3 linked regions of the Arabidopsis thaliana genome follow. The protein of the gene in region 3 interacts with the protein of the main gene of each other region in a pairwise test. Each region holds a gene or a part of one and is shown on either strand. Other genes may lie near its edges. The genes, in order: NAC061, AT3G11580 and BBX17.

Evidence for each region.
Region 1: the proteins of BBX17 (region 3) and NAC061 interact in a two-hybrid assay, tested with the Arabidopsis thaliana proteins (one large-scale study listed by BioGRID).
Region 2: the proteins of BBX17 (region 3) and AT3G11580 interact in a two-hybrid assay, tested with the Arabidopsis thaliana proteins (one large-scale study listed by BioGRID).

The regions. Positions count from the first base shown.
Region 1 is NC_003074.8:16,021,963-16,026,425, forward strand, and holds NAC061 (NAC domain containing protein 61), read right to left. Parts: upstream 2,558-4,463; 5' UTR 2,526-2,557; coding exon 2,369-2,525; intron 2,015-2,368; coding exon 1,731-2,014; coding exon of another isoform or gene 1,689-1,730; exon of another isoform or gene 1,500-1,688; intron 1,159-1,499; coding exon 874-1,158; 3' UTR 613-873; downstream 1-612.
Region 2 is NC_003074.8:3,648,451-3,653,320, forward strand, and holds AT3G11580 (AP2/B3-like transcriptional factor family protein), read right to left. Parts: upstream 3,040-4,870; 5' UTR 2,822-3,039; coding exon 2,245-2,821; coding exon of another isoform or gene 2,129-2,244; exon of another isoform or gene 1,603-2,128; coding exon 1,064-1,602; 3' UTR 769-1,063; coding exon of another isoform or gene 715-768; 3' UTR 510-714; downstream 1-509.
Region 3 is NC_003070.9:18,173,732-18,177,940, forward strand, and holds BBX17 (B-box type zinc finger protein with CCT domain-containing protein), read right to left. Parts: upstream 2,659-4,209; 5' UTR 2,206-2,658; coding exon 2,172-2,205; exon of another isoform or gene 2,081-2,171; coding exon of another isoform or gene 2,068-2,080; coding exon 1,301-2,067; intron 1,190-1,300; coding exon 1,010-1,189; 3' UTR 686-1,009; downstream 1-685. Other genes in the region: CRF9 (Integrase-type DNA-binding superfamily protein), read left to right, coding at 1-685; AT1G49140 (NADH dehydrogenase ubiquinone 1 beta subcomplex subunit 10-B-like protein (Complex I subunit NDUFS6)), read right to left, coding at 3,965-3,999.

The sequences.
Region 1 (4,463 bases), on a different chromosome or scaffold from region 3:
TAAAACTTTAATCATTAATTTCCAGAAAAACGAATTAGACGTGGACAACCTAACTGACATCCCTAAGCACTTGACCTTATTTTTTGTAAGAGTAATTTGCACCATCGATAAAGCATAAGCCATATTTCAAAATATGTACACCTCACTCAATAAATTAATTTAAAAAAAAATGTTTTCTTGTCTCATGTGTTCTTTCTATATTGCAAACATAATGAAAAAAAATCTAAGAATTGTTTTACAGTTTTTATTTCGTGGACAGAAGTTTGAACGACTAACAAAGAGCTTCAACGTGATCAAAGACATGACCCGGTTGAGATGCTTATACTCATTCAGTCATCCTTGTCTTTTTGTGTCGATCTAATGAGAGATCACATCTCTATATATATAAGAACACCTCTAAAACAGATGGTGAGAGTTAAAATGATCACACATACAATACTAAAATGGAAATAAAGAAAGTGCAATAAGTGTCGGCGGATTTATATTGAATGTGAGACTGATCTAATTGATTGAAGCTAATTTCTATCGATTTTTTTTTTTTTTTTAAGAATAATACATGCAAAGTAATCTAAATATCTTCCATGATCAAGTAGAACTAACCTTTCAAAAATTCTCTACTCATTCAAAACAAAAAGCAAAAAAAAAAAAAAAGGTACACATGAAAATAAAGGAAAAAAGACTTGCGTGAAAAATAATGAATCTTCAAGCTTAGCCTAATAATCAGGTTAGGCTTAAAAATGTCGTGGTCATATACTACTAGTTGGCGACTGAAAAGAACAAAAGTTGCCACAAATCTGACGACTTGTTCTTTTTTTTTCTTATCTTCTATTGTATATTTAGTAACAAATGAACATAAGAAGTAAATTAATACGTTTAAGACCAATTCATTTGTTCCCACTCCCAAAAAGGTTGCGATAGCTCATCAACCATATCTGAGATGCTTTGTGTAATAGTAGTAGCATTCACCGGTAAATCAACTTGGTTTCCTCCTGAATGTGAAGTTTCTGGTGAGGTTGATATTGTGGCACGAGATGATGTCTCAACTCCATTGCTAGGAAGATTTCTCTCTATCGCATAAGCTTCTGTGGGACGTCTGTCAAAGGCTCTCGAGCTTCCTGACTTTATGTAGATTCGACAGATACTGAATTCGGGCCTCAACTATATTGAATAGGAACAAACTTCGTTAGAACCTGTTTTGATAATGAAAGCTTAACTATTGTTTTACTAAAATATTATCAGTAACTTAGATATTATAACATTATGCATCTTAGGGAATCCCTAATAGGGATGGTAGAAATTCTATAACTCTAATATATAACCAATAGACAAAAGAATGCATGCATGAATATTTTGGTTTTTATCATTTATGTATGCATGATATTTAATTGGATAGTTTCAAATACTTAAAAACACATGTAATTTTTCGCACACTCTTTTACCACATATATAACTTTTGAAAACAACGATATATGTAAGACAAGATTATATATGTGAGATATAAAATAACCATGATAAAGATTTTTGACATGAATCAAAGGGTGATTCGTTTTTAATAATCTCTGTTTGTAATAATTGTATTAAAGATTATTCTGCTAGTTCACTGCACATGCTTGTCCAAAAAGGTGTTGAGACATCAGTTATTTTTATATTGGAATCCCACAAATAGAATTTGGTATATTTGAGAAAAATTATTTGATGAAAGTCTTCATTTTAAAGAAGTGATTATGCACCTTTGGGATGGTAGATACACTGGCTGTTTCAACTGCTTTATATTCATTCATCTTCCACTTTGTCTTTCTCCCAGTAGGTGCTTTTCCGGTATAGAAAACCATCGTCTTCTTTACTCCGATCACTCGGTTATCCGGCGAGAACACGGGTCCAGGTGAACCAGTTGCTTTCCAGTATCCTGAACCAGTGGTCCTACTTGGTCTGCCTCCTCTAGCTTCACGCTCTTGTCTTGGCACAAAGAAAATCCATTGTTCTGCATCTCCTCGACACCTCTCTCCCGCAAGATCTACAAACAAAAAAACACACAAACCAATAACACACCTCTCAATTTTTTTTGTGTAAATCCTCAGTTTATGTGTATACGTTTTCCTTAATTACATGTAAAGTTAAACTTTGTCGAAAATGAAATTGTTTAATTTTAGAAATGTGATTGTTTGTAAAGTTTTTTTTTGTAACTTATAATTAACCACGAAATCAAGAAACACAAACCTAAATCTCATGCATACAATCTCAAGATAACGTTAGTCACGTTACTCTACTCAAGAAACGCAAGAAGGAAAACTCTACAGTGAAAGACTACACATATATACGACAAATATATCATCGACATTATTTATATAGCTAATGATTGCATACGTACTTGGAAGCTGAGTAGGCTCAACGCTAAACACATCGAGGATCGGTATGAGACTATGAATGGTGGCATTTCCTCCACCAAGCTGGATTCTTAGGTAATACGTAAGGAGCTCTACTTCGGTCGGATAGAACCGAAACCCTACAGAAAGCTCTTCTCCCATTTTTTGGTGTGTTACAAATTTGCTTCTTGAATAAAGTGAAACCACATGGACTCATGATGAGTTTAAATAGGTGCAAGTAGAGATTAGTTTTCTCCGAGTGAAATGAGAAAAGTTTTACGCGTTTGGACTTTAGTTTTTTGTTCATGTATTATTACTTGTCTTTTCATATTTTGTTGGGGAATTGGACACGGGCCCATCTTTGTGATAATTTCGTGCCATTTCTATCATCTATACGTGAGACAGTGAGTGCTTTTCACAAACCACGTACTTTATCATTGAATAAGTCAAGGTTTATTCTTACTAGTCTTCTTCTAATATTCTTTATTATATCCTCCTATTTTTTTGTTACCTCAATGAATGTCTGTTTTTCGTAGAAACGTAGAAAATAATAAATCATATAAATATATTTGATTTTACAGTTTTTTTTTACTAAAAATATATGGATAAATGAAGTAAAGTAAATATCAATATTGCATATATTTGATCTTACATTTTACAATTTGAAACGAGGTAAAATCATCTTCAAGTGATTTTTGCTGAATTTCGATCATTTGGTCTACTACATTTTAGGTTTGGATGAGCTATATATATTATTGAAGTTCAAAGCATAAATCATCCATTCTAGTGGCATTTAGTTTTAGATGTTGTGGATTAATACAATCCGCCGAAGCTACTTAAGCTAAAAAAAACATTAAAGGAAATTAATACTACTACCATTTTAGTTGTACGGAGTCGTTAGGCGGGGTATCACATTGACACATTGGGATGTGGAGGTACTGTTTTTTTACATCAGCTATGACGTTTCTTTGTTTGAAATCAGCTATTAGTCTCAAATTTATGGTTTAAGAAATTTCTTTCGCCTTTTATAGAGAAAGAGATTGTTAATTGTTTTATGCGACACAATTGTTTTATCATGTCGCATATTAAACAAGTCTACGAGAAAAATAATAGGCAAACCAAAATATGTATTGTGTGATACAAACATGCATGATTATCCACATACCTATTCAGAATTAAAAAAATTTGAGAGTTGAAGACATTATTCGAATAATTTAAATATGCCTGAATTGAATAGTAGTTGATTAATCAATGATTTTTAGTGTGAAGTAAAATATAAGAATAATATTGTGTAGAAATAATAAACTGATGCCAATATAATAATCTTTTCAAATCGAATAAATAATTCATAGTTTTTACTTTCGGTTTTAAGATTTTTTAAGTTTTAAGGGTTAGTGTCCGAATTTAGAGTTCTATGATTTAATTTTAGTCTTATAGAGTTCAAGAGAATGTGGTTAACCAAATTTCTGTATGAACAACTATTTTTTAATAGAAAAATTCAATAGTTCTTGGTAAATGGATTAGGCCCTATGAGCTCCAAATCCAAATTGACACCATTAATAAAAAAAAAGCTATTGTAAAAATATCTTGTTATTTAATTTATATTGTCAAAAATATTTCTTATTTAACAGATTTATTGTTGGAGTGGACCATAACAACAACAAAAATCGACATAACTTTGTGCCAAAAGGCTTCCACGAACAAGACAAGTTTTGGAAGGAAGTATGAACCAAGAAGTCAAGAGACAAGGCAAGGTGAGATATAAGTGTTGGTGCGGTCTTCTGAACATTAATCCAAGAGTGAACAAAAGATAATAAATCGGTTGAAAAGTTTCAATTAACAGGTGATACCGTACAAGTAGTGAATTAAAAAAATAACTAAATGGTATCGAAAGAAAGAAAAAAGAAACCCCAATAACTTAAGTGCAAGTGTCAAACATTCCACGAGCAGTGAACGTTAAGACTAATTGGTCCACAAGACCTCATACTTGTGTACTTTATATGTATACAATAAATTTAGTTGTATAAATATTTATTGGTTGAAAATTTTTAAGGTTTCATGCTTGTGTAGTAAATCAATCTTTCAAGCAGTTCCATGATT
Region 2 (4,870 bases), on a different chromosome or scaffold from region 3:
AAATGCATAGAAAGAATTGGGACCTAAACCCATTTTTGTCATAGCTTGTAAAAATGATTCATATTCCTTTTACACTGTCTTTGTAATGCAAAAACAAAATAGAGAATCAAAAGAAGAGTGTAAGTAACACAGCAACAAATAAAATGGTCCCTGGCTTTGGCTTTGGAAAAGAGATAAAAGGCGATGTAACACAACCTATATATTTACACACATGCTATATATGAATATGCTCTCTCTTCTTTAATCATTCGTAATTAGGCCCACACCTTTTCTTCTCGTAATCTCCTCACATGAATCTCTCAACAGTTCCCAATTCATCTTTCATCATCAAATACATGCTACATGTGTATAAGGTTTAGCCTAGGCCTAGCTCACCAATTTGGGGTACCTGCCCTCAAATGACTTTTGTGCTATAGAAAGCTTTCATTGGTTTTATTTTAGCCTTCAAATATCAACTACTATAAACCCACACTAATTCACATCTTTTGCATATACTTTTTTTTTCTGTTCTGACTCAAATGTACAATAGAAACAAAATCTCATCTTTTATTTTTATTTTCAAATTAGTTAAATACTAAATACATAACGAAGCTACTAATAATATTAATTCTTGTCCATTTTTTCTCTATGACAATTGGGCCAAGTATGGGCCCATAATCTAAATTCTAAAGTTAAAAATCTAGAAAGTTGTCACTTCTTTTTGAATGTCAGTCATCAACCTCGTCCATCTCCTACCTGCTCCAATGCTTCCCCAGCAAATGATATATTCTGTTTCACAATTCCAACACGCAATTTTATTATTTTTATTATCATCAAAAACAAATTGTACACCGAATTGTATAGAATAATATGAAAAATAAAACTATCTTTAGTATTCACTTTATTTCATTAATTTAAGTATACAAATATATAATTCTAAGCATTTCAAATTATATCTGAACATTACAAAACATGGTAATAAATTCAAAACTTATGTCATTGATAAGTTTGTAATGCTTTTAGTCAGTTTTGCTTTCCAGCTTATTAGTCAATAATTTGGTTTCACAAAAAAAACTGACGGTGCCTAACAAATTAGAATAGTAAAACCAAAATAGAGACTGTTTTCACAGGAAACTATATACTTACGGCTGATATTAATTAATGAACAAAAGGAGGCTACAGAGACAAAAGAGTAAACAAAACAAATCAAAGTAATCAAATAAAAACCAAATTGGCCATGTGGTTTTACAGTCAAGTGTATAGTATTATTCTCTCTGATTCCTCCTTTATATAATTTATTAAACATAAAAATCTCTTTCAGGTCTATTTTAAAATTACTAATTTTCATCTGTCTCGTCTCGAGAAACAGCCACGACATCTGTTTAATAATTATATCATACGTAAGCAAAAATTTGAATCTGACAAAAATGTAAAAAAAAAAAATATTTACCATGGGATGAGGAGTTGAGTAATAGTAAATGTGTTGGTCATTATAGACATCAGGACGCGGTGGTGGCTCGACGGCATCACCATGACATTCGAGGTTCACGCCAAAAAGCCTCACCGTCCTCGAGCTACCTGCGACCACCGGTGGTATCGACTGAGCATGATCAACGACGGCGCCTACAATTTTTTTCCACCGTCAAGACACGTGCGCATCTTTTAGTTAAATTGTTTTTTTAACATAGAATTAAAAGGAAGAAATAAAGGGCACGTTAGTCTAAGTGGATTGGACGGTTCTCCTCACGCGCATGTAACGGATTAGTTACAACTTGGAGAAGATTATTTGAAATTGTCGGGTCCAAAATTAAATAATAAGAATGACAAAAATAAAAGACAAAATGTTATTTCATGTTGTTATTTTATATACATTACACACGCAACTAAAATAATTGTCATATAGTTTTAGATAACTCATTTGCTTTTTATAAGAAAGATATTCCACCAGCTAACTAAAATGGTTGAGCTTTCCAAGTGCTTGCCCTAACCTTTAAAAATTCTCATATTTTGTTTATAAAACCAAATAAAGATGAATGTTCTTGTTTACTACCATATAAAGTAGGCAGATAATCTAAAATACCATGCATAAAATATTAATCTCTATTACTTTTTTTAAGAGAACATGTAAATATGCAATACAAATTACGAATCATCTATTTTTATGAAAAAGACAAATCTTAAAAGAGAACAGAGAGGAGTATAAATCTGACATATAGATAAGAGAGAAAGAAAAAACAAAAGAGGAAATAAAGGGTTTGAATTTACCATAGTGTGAATACTCTTGGTGAATATTAGGGTAAGTAGTTGACGCGTGTACTTGACGATAAGGTGTAGTCAAGCCGCTCCAATACGCCGTCGTATTAACTAGAGCTTCTTGAGACACAACGGAGACAGCGGGAGAGGAAGAAGCTTCACCGCGTCTCCGCCAGCCAATGAAGAGTCTATGGAGATCAAAACGGTGACGTTGAAAGAAAACAACGTCGCCTGCGTCGAGGTGTTTGTCTTTGACGTACCTGCTCCATCCTTTGGTCAACACGTAGCTTTGGCTACTGTTCCAATAAGAGTATCTGAATTTCCAACACTTGCCTGACTCATCCTCGAAGCTAAGAAGCATCCCTTTCTCCGTCGTCGCCACGTCATCTCCGCTGCCGCCATTATTATTATTATTATTGAGAGGGAAGTATTTCTCGGCGTGTTGTTTTGGTATGACTAAGCGGTTTAGCTTTCCGACGTCGCTTGGTGTGAGTGATTTCTCGAACAAAGACTCTCGTTGTGCTATAGCTACGTCGTTTTGGTGGTGATGATGCAACGAGAGAGTGTTGTGGTAATGGTTGACTGACATCTTTTTTTTTGGTTTCTTGGAGTGAGAGAGAGAGAGAGGATTTGCAGGTGTTGGTTTGGTGGTGAAAGAGAGATGGGTAATGGTACTAATATAGTATTATACAAAGGAGAGAGACAGAGAGTGAAAAAAATTGAAAATGGTTAAATTGATGTGAAAACTGTGGGAACTATTTGATGAGGAGAGGACGACACGATACCGATAGTACTTTTAAGGTTTTGCGTGATGATATTTCCTTTCAATCATTATTTTTATTTTTTTCTCTTCTTTTCTATATTGTTGTTGCAGTCCATAATCCATATATATTTAAAAATGTGGTATTGTTTTTTTTTTTCTCGTCTGATAAAATCTTGTCCTAAACGGCATTGGATCCACGAGTGTTCTATAGTTATAGTGTAAAAAAAGAGTAAGCCACACAAAACGCCGCGACGTAACCCTTTAATTAAAGTTGAAAAGGTTTTGATCATGTAGAAGAAGAATATGTAATTATTTATATATTAGTAAAATTTGATGTCTTGGAATGTTATAAGTTCAACATATGTTATTTCAGCATTGCCGGAACTAAATTCGAAATCCTCCGGAGAAAAGATGATTTGTGTTTTCTTAATTAAAAAAGTTTCAGTATTCACCGGATATGACGTATTGATTAGCAAGATTCTATAGACTGTCAAAGCAGATAAACCTTACATATCAAGCAGCCATAAATATGTGGATTGCGTAAGTCAAACAATCCTTTATCATGGACTCATGTGGTTTGCAATTACTTGATCAGATCCTCATTGGTTTCTGAAGGATTAAATTTCTCTCATAAATGGTTATTTGATCATTTACTCTTGTATGAATTTTCAGCTGAGAATCTTACTAACTGCCATTAATTTATTTGCAAGACAAAGATAGTCGTTTTGTTTTTCTCAACCATTTGGTTCGTGGAATTGATGTGTCAGTATCTTTTGTCTATAAACGTAAAAATAATCTTTTGACAATTAAATTTTGTTAAAGTAGGATAAGAAATTAACTAGAGATAACACCTTCCTATGATATTTAGTTTGTAAATGAATCTATGAGAAATTGAAAACGAAAACAAAAACAAAAAGAGAAGGTAATGAAGAAATAATGAAGGATTAAAGATCAAACGGTTGAGAAGTGAGGTGGTACATATTACGCAAAAGTAAGAAGGTACAGAGGATACTTATCCCTGACGCAAGTGAGAAGCTCAAGTTGTGTAGCATGTGCTTTGCCTTTCCGACACACCATCGCATGCATCTTCACTTCTACTTCATACCATCCCTTATGTTCCTCTCTCTCTTTCTCTTTCTCTTTATCTACATTTTATTCTCTCTTTTTCTTTTCCTAATCATTTTATAATCGAGAGGGATAAAGACTTCAAGATTTATTTGTGAAATCGACTTGACCTTTTGGCACTCTTTCTCTTTTTTTCCTTTACAATATTGAACAACGTAACCATCCTATACTTCGACGCTATTTAATGCTCATCAAGCTGTGATATTTGACCAAACATATAAGTCATGAATCTAGATGAGAAATTGAGAACAGTGTGAAACATTTGATCAATTGTAGAAGAAAAAGTTCTAACTAATATATCTATGGATCGCAAGTCAACAAGTAAACAAACATTTTGGTCTAGCTAGATGCTTGAGTAAATGTTGTTTTCTTGTTTGATGGGTAAATTTCCATCTGTAGTTATTACCGTGCATCTTAAGTCGTGAGTTTCGTATATAATTCTGTGAATATAAGTAATATAACATACCAAGTCTACCACAAAAATCAATGGGACGTGCAAATGGTTACGTGAGTGGTCCTCTTCTATTTTATTTGACGAATTTCTCAAGTATCGTTAATTTTATTTAATATCTTTATCACTTGTTAATTATAGGATCATGAAATATCTGTCACGTGCTTTCAGGAATATCATTGGTGCTTACACGTTTCTATTTTTCCTAATTTTCTCGCAAAACTAAGACTAGTGATACTATTTCATATTTGTTTTCATGAACCATTTCCTCTAAGAAATGGTTCCTCTCACAATTTAAC
Region 3 (4,209 bases):
AAGAAATCCGTTTGAGAAGAAGAGAAAGTGGCTTGGAACGTTTCCTACTGAAGAAGAAGCAGCAGAAGCTTACCAAAAGAGTAAAAGAGAGTTTGATGAACGATTGGGTTTAGTTAAACAGGAAAAAGACCTAGTAGATTTGACCAAGCCGTGCGGTGTACGTAAACCAGAAGAGAAGGAAGTTACTGAGAAGTCGAATTGCAAAAAGGTAAATAAGAGAATTGTTACTGATCAGAAGCCATTTGGTTGTGGTTATAACGCTGATCATGAAGAAGAGGGAGTGATTAGTAAAATGTTGGAAGATCCGTTGATGACATCGTCAATTGCTGATATTTTTGGTGATTCGGCTGTTGAAGCAAATGATATTTGGGTGGATTACAATTCAGTGGAATTTATTTCCATTGTAGATGATTTCAAGTTTGATTTTGTGGAGAATGATAGAGTAGGAAAGGAGAAAACATTTGGATTTAAGATTGGGGATCACACTAAAGTTAATCAACATGCCAAAATCGTATCGACCAATGGGGACTTATTCGTCGATGATTTACTTGATTTTGATCCGTTGATAGATGATTTTAAGTTAGAAGATTTTCCTATGGATGATCTTGGATTATTAGGAGATCCAGAGGATGATGATTTTAGTTGGTTTAATGGTACTACTGATTGGATCGATAAGTTTTTATGAATACTTTCTTGACACGGCCAACGGTATTAGTACAAAACTACAAATCTTTGAGTTACAAGTTGTTTGTAATTCGTTTTGGTTTTTGTAACTAACTGCTTATATAAAGAGATTTACCTCATAAGAGAAGCTTTTACTAGTATGAAATTTAAATTCTCAAATTGATTTAAGAATAAAGTTGTAACCATGTCATTGTAGGGATAAATTCAAAAGCTACGAAATATGTTCCACATGAGCTTTTTTGTTCTTTTGATTAGCTTCTGGTTTCTTTGGAGTAGCCTTTTTTTTATTTGGCACAAAGGAGAAGAAACTGAGAGAATCTGTTCCCTAAGAGTCGATGGCTAAAGATCGTCGGACAAATCGACCTTTCATTCTCGGCCTTTTGTCGGCGTTAACCTTTCTAACCTCGTACCTTATCTTCTTCTCGAACAAACGATTCTTCCTTTTATCTCTGTATCTCCAAACTCTAGCTTCTCTCTCACTTCTTACTCTCTTCTCCTCTATCCCCTGCAATCAACAACCATTACAATAAGTTTCTTTGATAGATTGGGTTCAATTTTCTCAATTTGAAACAATATAATATCATTTTTGTAAGAACTCGGAAGATTAGGCGCTTACTGGAGGAACTAGCTGGAAGCTACTTGTGTTGTTTTTTACATCTCTAGGAGATTCTTGTTTATCCCAAGCTGCTATAACATTTTCGTAATTCAGTCTATGCCTTGCATTATTCTCATAACAATCTTCAATTTCTTCTGTCTTTTCTGAAACCGTTATGACATTGTCGTAATCTTTCTTGCAGCTCATCAAATATTGTCCAGGACATGCTTCAGCTCCATCAGTTTTATCTTCTTCTTCTCCATTGTAATATAGATCCTCCATTGTGTCAGCTTCTTCTTCAAAGTTGAATTGTTTCGTTGTTTCTTCAGTACCATTGTGGTTGCTCAAGAAGAATCCCATCTCTGTGAATCCCTCAAACTCTGGCACAAGAGAAGTCATATCATCATCATTTGCTTCTGGTATGAAAAACATCACTTCGCCTCCAATCTCGGGAACACGAGGATCTTCCCTTCTTCTCTCATCATCTATCTTTTGTTGTGGCTTTTTCTCATACCGAGATCTAGGAGTTCTTGCTTTTCTTCGAAACCCGCTGTGCCAAACCGAGGTTAATGTTGTTCCCCCACGCACATCATTCGATATCTCGTTTGTTCTAAGACAAACTCTCTCGTGTTTTGTCGCTACATGGTTTGCAGAATGCACTGATTCATCACAAACATGGCACAAGAAAGCATCATCGGAGGCACAGTACCAAACTGCGTGTTTGTTCAGACAAAGTTCGCAAGCTCGTGGCTGCTTGACATCTTCTTGGTACTTTGAAATCATAATTTCTGCGCAAAACATGAAAACAGAGATATGAGAAGAAATCAAAGTAGAAGAAGAAACTGGCACAAAAGGAGGTTTATCAGGAAACAGTAGAGTAATGGTTATATACTTTCTGAAATTTTGATATTTTGGTGACTTGTCATGGGCTAAGAACAAGAAAGATCTTAAAGTGAGAAAAAGGGGACAATGAAGAAGACAAGGGCTAAGAGGGATGGAGAATAATGGGCACTGACAAAGGAGCCTGCTTAGGTAGGTATATAATAATCTTTTTCGTTGGGATCAGACAAAGACATTTTCCTTTAGAATCTAGAAGATTTTTTCACTGACACTTCTTTCTTATGTCAGTAGGGACTAGAAATGACTTTTTAGCTCAAGTTTCCTTGAGTCTTGTTCTATACATGTTTAATATTCTTGAATCTTAACATTAAGGGTTAGTGAACATACTTATATAGAGTAGATTAGTCTTAAGAAAAGGTAGTAAAATTTGAGATGAGTAAACACTTGGTGTATTATTGAAGTTTGGCCATACCCATTTTTGGTTGGGTTGTACAAGGAAAAAAGACACTGTAGTGATGATTTGGCATCATGTACCGAAGTTGATCCATATCTTTGCGATCTTATTGGTTAGACTTGGATTATGTTTTTGGGTCTTTTATGGCTTCTTTTCCTTACCCATCTCTAAGTTTTATCTTTTTGTTTGTTAGTCTTTTGTTTTCTGACTCATTTTGTCTGTGGTCCTTACCTGTCTTTGTCACCATTTAACATATGGTAATAGACTCCGTAGATGTTTGAACTACTACTTAAAGGTTAATAAAAATTTCATGAACTATTTCAGAAATGAATCCATTTAGACAACACTAAAGAAGTAAAGATGTTCCTACAGTTTTGAAATAAAGGGAAAGTATGATGTTTTTAGAGTTAACTCTTTCTTAGTTTTATCAGATAAAGTCTTAAAAACATATACTAAGTTGCAAGCATGCAAAAAGGTACTTGGGAATTTCATTATTTCGACAAACAGGGACGCAATGTACAACAAGCCAAAAATATATATAAATCATTTGAAAAACGAAGCTGAGCTTAACCAATTGGAACTCCCAAGTCCAATTAGTAATATATGTTTTACGAAACAGAAAAGCATAAATCAAGTAACAACCTTGATGTGGAGCATTAACTTGCAACAGAGACTCCATTCATGTATGGTAATCAAAGCTCTCACTCACCTGTGTCATTGGAGCAAGAAAAAACCTTTAAAATCTTTGAACCAAATACAAAAATCATCAATCCAATTTGAACTTGAGATTTTGACTATATGCCTTAACCCTATTGGAACTATTGTTTAAACCAATCAAAACCTAAATGTTGGAGCTCTATCCTTCTTCATACAGTCCACAACATCTCATATCTCAAATAATTAATTCATCAATGAAATTCTGTGACTAGGTTTAGCTCTGTTGCAGATTAAAGATGGACGCAATTGCAAGCGGATTGGTATCTATAATATCGGCCCATATGTCTCCAAAATTGAGTCACTCCAAGATCTATCAATTTCATTTCTATACATTCCAAAACATGTCCTGTTTCTAAAACCACCGAAGAAAGTCCATGACTAAGCTTTAACCTTTGTGATTGCAGTCAGATTGATATCAATAATTAACCAGTGTATCCACAACTTCCGCAAAACTAAGTCACTCTAAGACCTGATCAGTTCATACATATAACTATCCAAACATCCATATTCCAATTTTCTCCTACCACAAACAGATTCACATAACATGTCCAGTTATAAGATAGTGTCTACACAAAGCATGCTAGAAAGTCTAACCTTTCTCCTCTTCTAAGCAATACACACTATATAACTAATCAACACCAGTTACTTACCAAAGATCAATCACGCACACAACATCATTCAGCTTCTTCAACAGCTACTGGCTTAGGACCTGGTTTGACAAAATCAATACAAACAAAAAAAATTCAATACATATATCTAAAGGAAGAATCAATTTCACAAAGGTATTCATGAAGAATTTTGAGACCACTCTACATCAAATTCAAATCAAATTCAATCAAACACACTAAAGAGTAACTGAATTCAAAATTCAAAGGCTAAGGAAAAAAACACGAAACCCTAAGAATTTCAATCTAAGCAT